Linked DNA regions of Oryctolagus cuniculus. The protein of the gene in region 1 interacts with the protein of each later gene in a biochemical or structural test. Links are inferred from orthologs where the notes say so. Each region holds a gene or a part of one and is shown in the gene's direction. Other genes may lie near its edges.

Region 1 (3,651 bases):
TAGCCTTCTGAAGACAGCAAAGACGACAGTAAAACTTACCATTTGTGCCAAGAATCCAGACTCGCCGGCTACTTCAGTAGCTGGTGCAGCCAACGGAGGAAAAAGGAGCAGCTCTCAGTCTCCAGTGGTGCCACAGTCGAGCTCTCCAGAACCAGAGCCCATTCGAAGTAAGGACTGGGCTCACGAGAGTCCTGTGTGTCTGGCATACTCAGCACAGGGAGCCTGCTGAGGGTCCAGCTGCCTGCCAGTGGCTGATTGTTTGAAAGGTGTAACAAGGGAGCCCTGTGGTGGGAGGCTGGTAGCAAGAGAGGGGCTCCTAAAGAAAGAGCACTGGATTGTAAAGTAGACGTCAGGGCATCTTACATTAACCCACCGTGGGACCTCAGGAAATCCACCTGTTCACTCTGAGCCTCAACTTCTCTGTTCTCCAAGAAACTTTTGCTGAGAGTACCAGTGATTTCAGATATTGAACTAGCAAATTGGAAATATCATTTTGGAGATACTGTATATATATGTATACATACACATATACTGAGACAGTAACTTAATTTCCCTAAGTCTCAGTTTTCTTATCTGTAGAATGGATATACAGTGATCCTTTTTCACAGATAGGATCAATATTACCTGCCACCACAAGAAACTCCTGAAAATTATAGCTGTTGACACTGAGTATGTTGTAGCAGTTTGAGTTCTGTGGTTTGAATGCAGTAGTAGACCTTGTGAAAGTAGATAAAATGGATGTCGTGGACCATGAGATGATAATTTAGTCTATCATTAAAATGCCCGTCTAGTATATGGAGGTAAATTATTCCTATAAGTTACTTTTTGACAAAAATCACACTGGTTTCTTATAAAACAATAAATTTCAACCTCTGCACCATCAAAAAAACAAAATTGCTCAAACACGTTGCCATTTTCTGCAAGTGTGGGGAAAAATTGGGCCTACAAACTGAAACATTCAGTTCTTTTGACATGGTTTTAAGGAAACACTAATTTAAAACATTTGTAGTATAGTTAGACAAAAATGGCTTAAAGAGATATATCTCTGATGAAAGTAATCCTTTATTTAGAAGGACTGAATAATTGACTGAAGTGTTAAAAGATTTTATGAAAATATTCTCATTTTTCAATTTTACATTGATCCCTAAATAGCATTGTCTATAAAAATATGAAATGCTATGTGAAAATTTTACATAAAACGAAATATCTTACACCTGTTCTTACCATTTCAGGAACAAGAAAATGGTCTGTTTCTGATTTCCTAAAAAGAGAACATCTTGTCCAAAGCATACGTTATTCTACCAAGTATAGCCATCCAGACTTTCCCCAAACATGCTATTGTTGTATCATAAAACAGGTGATACGATAAGAAGACTGTCATACAACAGGATGTGAAATTATATTATTCTTATTTTCTCATAGTCTGTTCTTTTTTGAGCATCTATGCACCAGGATTTGTTTATAAAAAAGCAAGGGAAATCCAAGGGTAAAGATGTAAATAGTGAGTATTTCCTTAGACTTGATCATGTGAGAAGAGATGCTCTAGGATAAGGGGGAAAAAAGGAAAGCATAAAAAGCCCTGAAAAGCAGGCAGTGGGACCAAAATTATTGATGTGCTTTGTGTTTTGTTATCTCCCTTGAATGTGCTTCTGTGTGTCTGCCACATGTCTCAGATCTGAGTTGTACAAATCTTGATTTCATAACAAGTGTGTTTTGCTGCAGTGAAGTATAGAATGTCAGAGTGAAACTGGAGGTTCTGTTCAACTTTCTGTTCTCCTTCCTTTACACTCTATCTTATATAGCAATTTAAAAATACAGAATAGTATAGAAAATAAACAGGTGATTTTGTACCAAAAACCTTAACAATGATTTAATAATATTTCTTTCAAAATATATTTATTTGTTTTTATTTATCAGTAGACAGACAAATACAGACCTAGACAGAACACCAGAGGGCTCTTACCCACTGATTCACTCCCCAAATGCCAGTAACAGCCAGGACTGAACCAGGTCAAAGCCAGGAGCTGGGAATGTCATTTGGGCCTCCCACATGGGTAGCAAGAACCCAAGTATTTGAGCTATCACTGCTGCCTTCCAGAGTGAGCATTAGTAGGAAGCTGGAGTTGAGAATGGAGCAAGGATTCAAACCCCCAGGTACCTCCAGGTAGGATGCAGGTACCCCAGATAGCGTCTTACCCACTGCCTCAAACACCCTGCCTTAATATAGTTTAATATAACTAGAAGAGCTGAGTAAATTTGCAATCTCCTTTTTCACTAGTCTGAACCCCTTTTCCTACTCCATCCCCCAAAAGCAACCTGTGCAGTGAGTTTAGCCCATATACCTTTTAATCAACATTTATTTGTATTTCATTTCTCTTTTAACTCATTTAGGTACAAGCAGGTCATCAACACCAGCGATCTTTGCTTCTGATCCTGCCACCTGCCCCATTATCCCTGGCTGTGAAACAACAATTGAGATTTCCAAAGGGCGAACAGGACTGGGCCTGAGCATTGTGGGCGGGTCAGACACACTGCTGGTGAGTGCCCACCCAGAGGTGCTCACTAGCTGGGCAACCCTTCAGCCAGGCCTCAGATACCTAGACTGAGGGGATGCCTTTCTGTCTGTTTTGTTATATTAAATATAAAGGCTGAGGAAAAAAATGTATTGCTCATTATTATTTTTAATTTATAGAGCAAATCCTTAATGGGGGTACTGGGATTTTTACTTAATTAAGTCAATACTGACTCAGTAAGATTTTGTTATACTTGTGAGTGTGACGTTTAGATTTTGAAATGTTTCTGTCAGCTCACCAGTGCTTTTGGTTTGGATTTCCTTTTTAATGGAATCCACACCACATTGGTCATGTGTTGAGAGGAATCTGAACAATTGGATGCTTTGTAGACAAAATTTTGTAAATGTCAAAAGGTAATGTAGCTCTATTATATGTAGGCATAGATAATTTATATATTTAAAATGTTTTCTAAATATCCCTACTGTTAGAAAAAAAAATGTACAAACTTTTCTGAGCCATTTAGCAGAAAGTGAGTTGTCAGACATTTCCTTAAATGATGTGAGGTTACCGGCAGGTGGATCCTGTAAAGATCAGGCCTGCTGGCTGTCTATAAAAGTCCCAGGTGTTTGGACTCCATTTCAACTCTGTATTGCTAGGGAGAATGGAATAAAGCATGGGTTGTTGTGTTTGGCTCCCAGGGTGCCATTATCATCCATGAAGTATATGAAGAAGGAGCGGCATGCAAAGATGGAAGACTCTGGGCTGGAGACCAGATATTAGAGGTACAATGCACTTCCTTGTGACCTTCAGAAATCACAGCAAAAAGGCCACTGGTTCTTTGTTGTTTCCTTCTCCCTCTTTTCCCTTCCTTTATTTGCCCTGTTTAACTCTCCTAGTTTCTCACTCTCAAGATCCCGTTTTGGTGCAGGTGAATGGGATTGACCTAAGAAAGGCCACACATGATGAAGCCATCAATGTCCTGCGACAGACGCCCCAAAGAGTGCGCCTGACACTCTACAGAGACGAGGCCCCCTACAAGGAGGAGGACGTGTGTGATGCCCTCACCGTGGAGCTACAGAAGAAACCCGGCAAAGGCCTGGGACTAAGTATTGTTGGGAAAAGGTGTGCCTAAGGATGA
Region 2 (3,751 bases), on another chromosome or scaffold:
CGCTACAGCTGGCACACCGGAGGCACCTGCCAGGTGGCGCCTGGGAGCCTGTGAAGAGCTCTGTTGTCTGGGTTGCAGCTTAGCATCCCGGCAGTAGCCAAAGGAAGCTATCGTGGCTCACCTCTTTCCTTGCTGCCTTAACCGTGGCTTGACTGTGTCTTGACAGCCCTCACGGCAGCTGTGCAGTCACCTGACTGTGGGCCTCAGGGCTCTGTACAGGACAGATAGATTCAGTCCCCTCAGAAACCCAAAGGAACTACCCTCAAGGTGTCTTTCTGAGCGTTTAAGCGGGGCTTGTGGGGTCAAGAAGGGAATCAAACTGTGCCTTCTAGGAGATGACAAAGGCCAAAGGCTTTCCTTTCTCCTTTTGCATTTGGGCTTGGGGGCAAGGCTGGGGAAGCAGACCTGATAACAGGGTTGTGGCCTTTGCACACTAGATATGTGTGATCCTGTGACTGCCTCAGTTGCTACAGGTGGAGAAAGGCGCAGGAGACTAGCAGAGACCCTCGAGTTTCAAAGCATGGTGAAATTTGCAAGACTTAGGAATCATGTGTTTCGAACTGGAATGTACAGGTGTGTGTGTGTGTGTGTGTGTGGAGAGAGAGAAAGAGACAGATGTTCTTTGAATATTTGAGGGTACAATCTTGAATAAACCTTCCCATTCCCAACATCCCGTTCCGTGGTTGACCCAGGTTGCCCCCAGTCTCCAGGCCTCATGAATCAAGTTAATCGCGATCCCCATCACCATCCCTCAAAGAGGTCTCGCGCCCCCTTTCAGTTGGCTCCAGATGCACTGAGAGACCGGTCCAAACAGGCCCGGGGCAGCGTAACACTGAGCGCTGATTGGTCGATCTTGGCTCCTCCCCTCAACCCGCATTTGGCCCTAGAGCGCTGTGCAGCTCCACCAGCGCAGGGTAGGCGCTCTGGTGCTCGCGAGGACGCTTCCTTCCTCGGGTGCACTGATCTTCCCGATCCTGCCTTTGGAGATGCCAGATTGCTAACCTTGGCTACTCCATTGGCCTGTCTGCCTCTTACCTGCCGATTACATATGAACTTTTCCTCCTTCTTTCTGCACACCATTGTCGGAGTCGTCGAGATCGTCGTGGTGCTCGTGTGATGGTCTTCGTCCGTTTAGCGTAGTGTAGTTAGTTAGGGGCCATCGAAGAAGAAAGAAGACGCGATTAGTGCAGAGATGCTGGAGGTTGTCAGTTACTAAGCTGGAGTGAGATAGTGGAACTAGAGGAGCCAAACCCAGCCGGGGGCGCAGGGTCGCCCAAGGAGGTTGACTCGCCGGCGCTTCCCATCGCGCCGAGCTCCCTCCGTCCCTTTCTCTGCCTCCGCCAAGGCGCGAGGTTGCGGCGCGCAGCGCAGCGCAGCGCACCGACTGCCGCGGGCTCCGCTGGGCGATTGCAGCCGGGTCCGTTTCTCGTCTAGCTGCCGCCGCGGCGACCGCTGCCTGGTCTTCCTCCCGGACGCTAGTGGTAAGTCGGAGCCCCGGGCTGCATTACTAGCCAAGACCTTAATGATTTAGGCCAGGGATGGAGTGGGGAGCGGGGACAAGTCCCGGATGGTTGCAGCCTGCAGGACCGCACTGACCGGGGCGAGGGTGAAGGGGGTGGGGAGGGACTCCGAACGCGCAGATCGCGGGGAGACTGGGGTCTCTAGAAGGAGAGAAGAGCTTAGGTTTCACGGGAGGCGAACCCGAGCCTCCAAGGAGATTGGGAGCTGGGACTCGAGATTGAAGTCTGGATGGAGGCAGGGTCTGGAGAACCCAGCGCCTAGGAAGCGGAGAGAGTAGCGGTGGCGGAGGTGGGGGCCTCAAGAAGTGAGGGAGGGGCAGAGAGAGGAGGGAGACCGAAAGCGGGTGTCGCTGGGCAAAGGGTTGGGCTGCGGAAGGTGCAGCTGGGTTGGGGTACACACTACGTTCTTAAGCAATTGGATTGCGGGCAAGTGGAACAGGAAGTAGGGCTTGGGACAGTGGGAGCAAGGTGGTGGTGGTGGGGGAGGATCCTTTTTTATATTCTCATTGATAATCGACCCTGATTTTCGGCGGGTCTCAGTGAGCACCCGTTACCCTGGGGAGATAGATACTGCGGATCTGTGTCTTGTGTTAACAGCTGTTGGCTGAATGTGAACAGTGCTGCTGCTGATGGTCACGTAAGTTTAAAAGGAGAGTATAAATAAGGCATCCAAGCAGCCTTTTTATTATTAGCTTACCTAAGTCATTTGGTGACAGTTTTGTGTTTTGAAAAGGATTACGGAAAAGTCTCCAGCGCTGCCTCTTATTCCAGTCCCGTTATTCAGGTTAACCTGACAAGCAGTCTTAACAGCGTCCATCGGAATTGCTAAACGTGAGAACAGGTTGCCGTTCCTGATGCCACATAAAGTTCGTCATTGAAAAACCTGTCTTTGTGTCTGCTTCTTTTCTGCGCCGTGCCCTTTGCCCTTTGCTTACTGTTGGTAGTATGCGACCTGAGGTGACAAGCACTTTGCATCGTGTTCTAGACCCCTTTATTTTAGGCGACAGCGCTCCCCAACTCAAATTCAGCTTGCGACATCCGGCAGTTAGAAGAGATCTAATTTGGTCGAGAATCACTGCCAGTACAGGATAGTTTCTTCATTAATATTTACCAGTACAAGTCCCATCCAAGGAAGCCTCCTATTGCTGAGCCTCTTAAGTGCATATGCCCCTTACCACATACCTTTTAGACAGGCTAACCCAGGGAGACTCTCCAGGGAGGAATAGAACTGGACTAAAATGACTGGGCTGGTGGGGGAGACGGTGAGCAGTGAGTAATCTCTGAGCTCCTCGAGTGGCCAACAATTGTGTCCTCACATACACAGTGGTGCAAAAAGACATTTGGGTTCCAGAGTTTCAATTTTTCATTATGAAATTTTCCTATATGTCATCACCCATTCTGACAAATGAAAATATGAATGCAGTAGAAATCGTGTTACTGTAGTTCACTACGTGTATGTAGACCATGAAAAAGGCCAACCCACACATCCCACAGAAAATTATTTCTACCATGATCATTGTGCCGCTTTTGCAGTATTTAAATCACACGGAATATTGTCCTTTCAGAAGAGTATAATTGCCTTGGCACCTTGCTGTTTAGGAATCATCTACAGAACTCCATCTCCCACTCCAATCCCCTCCCTCGGCCCCATGGGAATTCATTTTTCCTGTATCGGAGGGAAGTAGGTTATAAGATATTTAATTACGTTTTTCACTCTATAAATATGTTCTTCTGATCCTCCTGGGGAGGGAAGGAAATATGTATTTCATCCAAATGATTTCTTTCCTAATAGCTTCTATCTACGGCAACAAGCCCAATGTGAGTCCTGACATCAGAAGGTGGATAAGGCTTGTGGTTGCAATGTCAAGGTAGGATTTGGGATGCTTAAACCAACACTCACAGTGATTTTCTATCTGCATAATCCAGAAAGGTTATTAACCCTTCCCATAGTTTCTTGAGATTTATCTCCATCTAAAATTGTCATGGATCATATGATAACTTTTTCAGATACATAACAGGCTTTGGTATAGTATGAATTCATGGGAAGAAAGGTGAGAGTTGATATTTTTGCAAGGCGTGGATCCAGGATATATATATATATATACACACACACACACACACACAGAGAGATATATATCCATATATATATATATATAATTGTGTCTGTGTGTGATTTCACATAGACTTCATAGCAAGCCTATGAATGGGGAAGATGCTATTTCCCATTTTAT
Region 3 (3,751 bases), on another chromosome or scaffold:
AAGACAGAGCAGTCAGTTTCTTGAGTAATTCCCTTGGGGTGGACCTTTTTAGAAAGAGGTCATTTGCTGTTTTCCTAGCCCCCTCTGATCCACCCCAGGAAGATTCCGTGGCTAGATCTTTAATAATAATAATCTTATTCAGATTGAAAGGCAGAAAAGGAGAGCCTTATTTTAAAGAGAAGCAATCTATAGATTGAGGAAAAGCCAATCTGGAACAAATGTGTACACCCCCTTGGAAAGACAAACACAAGAATGTTAGAAGAGGGAAGTTTGTATATTCACAGACATTCTAGTAACTTAGTCTCTTGGTATAACGAGAGATAACTGAGCAGGTGCAAGTAAGATACAATTCCACACATTTTAAGTGCAAACACAGGGACTGGACAGATACTAGTATAGAGGAAATACGGCCACAACCAGAGACAAAGAAAGAGAAGCAGACCCCGCATCCCAACACAGACCTTGAAAAGTGGCTGCTCACAATTAACTAGTGAAGCAGCTGCCCACTGCTATCTTGTCTAGGGAGAGAAGGAGTCCTCAGTTCTACTTCTGTAAACTCCAGTCATAAATCTGTCCTAACAAATCTGCCCCTGGTGTCTCTTCTACAAACATAACAGGCCCACCAACCATTGGAAATGTGGTTCTAAGTCTTGTAGGCTGCAATTTAAACCCACCATGTAGGCTGCAATTTAAATGATGCTGATGAACCTATAAATATTGTAAAAAAAACTTGGGATTGTTGCTCAGTTCTCGGGAAATTATTCCAGCTGAGCCCACTGGTGTAATAAACTACTTCAATCCTCCACTGTCTCTGGTGCCTGTTTGAACAAAGGGAGTCTTCCCACCTCAGATGTCTATAACATTAGTGTGTGATTTTATGCCAATGTGACATCAAAATGTTATTCTTAGGGCCAAGTGGTTAACACTATGCAGTCTCTGTAAACTGACCAGAACTGGCTGGGCGTCCACCGCTGTTATGGGAAAAGTACTGCCAATTCTATTTCTTGTCCATTCAGAGCCTGAAGATATGGGACGTGACAATTCCTTGCAAAAAGAAGGAAGTCAGCACTTTACGCGTGAGGGCTTCAGGAAGTTTCTGTCGTGGTTTCTGCAGCTGTGTTTATGAACTGGACTGCAACCACAGGTAAGTTAAATTTTATCCCCTAAAGAAACTTTTTATTTAAGGAATACAAGCTTCATGTATTTCATAAGTACAACTTTAGGAACATAGTGATTCTTCCCACCATACCCACCCTCCCACCCACTCTCCCGCCCCACCTCCTCCTCCCTCTCCCATTCCCAGTCCCATTCTCCACTAAAATCCATTTTCGATTAACATTATACATAGAAGACCAACTCTATACTAAGAGTTCAACAATTTTCATGAAAACAAAACAAAATAAAACAAAACAAAACCTGTTCCTCAACAGTGGAGACAAGAAAGGGCTGTTCAAAGTCATTGCATATTGAAGTTAATGTCACGCCCCGCCCCCCCTTTTTTTTTAGAACAAAGTGAAATTTCTAGTCCTCTTTTCGGCAGGAGAGCCCAAATCTTACCAGGTCTTATCTTATGTTACCAGCTTCTACGTTGTTTTTCTCAGGGACCTCCCGTTGGCTTCAGCCATGCACTCATGGGCTTCACGGTATCCCAGCACCATGGGAATAAAGTGGTGACAATCAGGGAATTCCCGATCATGTGCTCCAACGAGAATTCTGACCTCCTCAACCAAGGCATAAAGACGGTTTAAGAAGCCTGCCAGGGTGAACTGAGGGACTCGTTTTATTAGGCGCTTGTCTCACTGCCTTTTTTCATCCTTGGAATAGAAAGTTAACTGGGCAAAAAGGTTAGTAGACTGAGAACAAATAGGACGGAGGAAAAAAGGGGGGGGGGGGAGGTTTTACTGGGTTGAGTTTCTGTTTACCCACATGGGAGACCAGGACTCTGTAGGCTGCCTCAGCCTAATGACCACCTAATGAATTATTTTTTTTAAAGACTTTATTTATTTATTTGAAAGTCAGAGTTACAGAGAAGAGAGGTCTTCCATCCTCTGGTTCACTCCCCAATTGGCTGCAATGGCTGGAGTCGTGCCAATCCAAAGCCAGGAGCCAGGTGCTTTTTCCAGGTCTCCCACATGGGTGGAGGGGTCCAAAGTCTTGGGCCATCTTTTACTGATTTCCCAGGCCATAGCAGAGAGCTGGATGGGAAATGGAGCAGCCAGGATTCGAACTGGTGCCCATGTGGGATGTTGGCACTGGATGCAGCGGCTTTACCCACTATGCCACAGCACCAGCCCTGTAATGAATTATTTTAACAAGCCTCTCCCCAGCCCCTGGCAAGCACCATTCTATTTGTGTCCCTATCAGTTTGACCAGTCTGCGACCTCACAGTACTTGTCATTTGGTGACTGACCGTTTCAATTAGCACAAAGTCTTCAAGGTTTATCCACATCCTAGCATGTGTCAGGATTTCCTTCCTTTTTAAGGTACAATAATATTCCATTGTATGCACTGCATTGCTTCCACACTTTGCCTGTCGTGAACAATACAGCTCTAAATGTGGGTGTACAAACATGCTTTTGTTCCTGCTTTCAATTCTTTTGAGTATATTCTCAGAAGTGGAAAGGCTGAGTAATGATGGCACTTCCATTTTTGTTTTGATGTTTTGGGAAACTGACACACCATTTTCCATAGCAACTGCACCATTTTATGTTCCTACCAGCAGGGCACAAGAGTTCTAGTTCCTTCACATTCTTTTAACATTTGTTATTTTCTATTCTGCTTTGGTTTTTAAAATCAAAACTATCTTAATGGGTGTAAAGTGGTATCTCATTTTTTCTTTGCATTTTATCTTTCTTTGCATTTACTGTTTCTTTGAATTTTATTTTCATGGCATCCCCCTCCACCTCCTTAGATCCTAGATAGAGTAGGTGCATCCTGGGAAAGGGAGAGTTTTGATTGACAAGGAGGAGGTAGAATTACATTTGGGGACCTATCTAACTGCCTGCCTATTCACCCCACATCACTTTGGTCCACTCCCCAAATGCCTGCAACAGCTAGGGCTAGCCCAGGCCAAATCTGGGAGTCCAGAATTCAAATTGTGTCTCCCACGTGAATGGCAGTCACTTGTGCCATCTTCTGCTGCTTCCAAGGATGCAATGGCAGGAAGCTGGACTGGAAGCAGAGTAGCCTGGGCTGAAACTTGTACGCTAACATGGTATGCAGATGTCCCAAACAGTAGCTTAACCACAGTGCCCACCCTGTTAGGAGTATTTTGATGCACAAATGTTTTTAATTGTGATCAAGTTCAATCTGCCTAATTTTTCTTTTCTTTTTTTTTCCTCTGTGCCTTTGGTGCCATAACTAAAAAATCATTATCAAATCTGGTGTCATGAAGGTTTTCCCTTATGTTTTCTCTCAGGAGTTTTATAGTTTAAGCTCTTATCTTTAAGGTTTTTATTCATTTTGGGTGCCTTTCATGTATGGTGTTAGTTGAAGGTTCAATGACTGTGGCTATTCAACTTTCTCAGCACAACTTGTTGAAAAGACTGTCCTAGAGTAGCAGTTCAGATACCCACATCCCATACCAGAGTGGCTGGGTCTGATTCCTGCCTCTGGCTCCTGACTCCAGCTTCCTGCTAAGGCACACTGTGGGAAGTGCTGGTGACAGCTCAAGTGATTGGGTTCCTGCCACCCGTGCGGGAGAACTGGACTGAGTTCCCAGCTCCCAGCTATGGCCTGGCCCAGTCCCAGT

The links.
Region 2: the proteins of MPDZ (region 1) and HTR2C form a complex in vitro, tested with the Homo sapiens proteins (3 studies listed by BioGRID and IntAct, with this or other methods). The link is inferred for Oryctolagus cuniculus from reciprocal best matches to the Homo sapiens genes MPDZ and HTR2C.
Region 3: the proteins of MPDZ (region 1) and CYSLTR2 interact in a test that uses a peptide from one of them, tested with the Homo sapiens proteins (2 studies listed by IntAct, with this or other methods). The link is inferred for Oryctolagus cuniculus from reciprocal best matches to the Homo sapiens genes MPDZ and CYSLTR2.

The regions. Positions count from the first base shown.
Region 1 is NC_091432.1:175,939,969-175,943,619, reverse strand, and holds part of MPDZ (multiple PDZ domain protein), read left to right. Parts: coding exon 1-167; intron 168-2,391; coding exon 2,392-2,537; intron 2,538-3,211; coding exon 3,212-3,295; intron 3,296-3,441; coding exon 3,442-3,635; intron 3,636-3,651. UniProt on the Homo sapiens protein: Member of the NMDAR signaling complex that may play a role in control of AMPAR potentiation and synaptic plasticity in excitatory synapses. Promotes clustering of HT2RC at the cell surface.
Region 2 is NC_091453.1:78,910,649-78,914,399, reverse strand, and holds the start of HTR2C (5-hydroxytryptamine receptor 2C), read left to right. Parts: upstream 1-894; 5' UTR 895-1,481; intron 1,482-3,751. UniProt on the Homo sapiens protein: G-protein coupled receptor for 5-hydroxytryptamine (serotonin).
Region 3 is NC_091440.1:67,983,622-67,987,372, forward strand, and holds the start of CYSLTR2 (cysteinyl leukotriene receptor 2), read left to right. Parts: upstream 1-1,013; 5' UTR 1,014-1,144; intron 1,145-3,751. UniProt on the Homo sapiens protein: Receptor for cysteinyl leukotrienes. The response is mediated via a G-protein that activates a phosphatidylinositol-calcium second messenger system.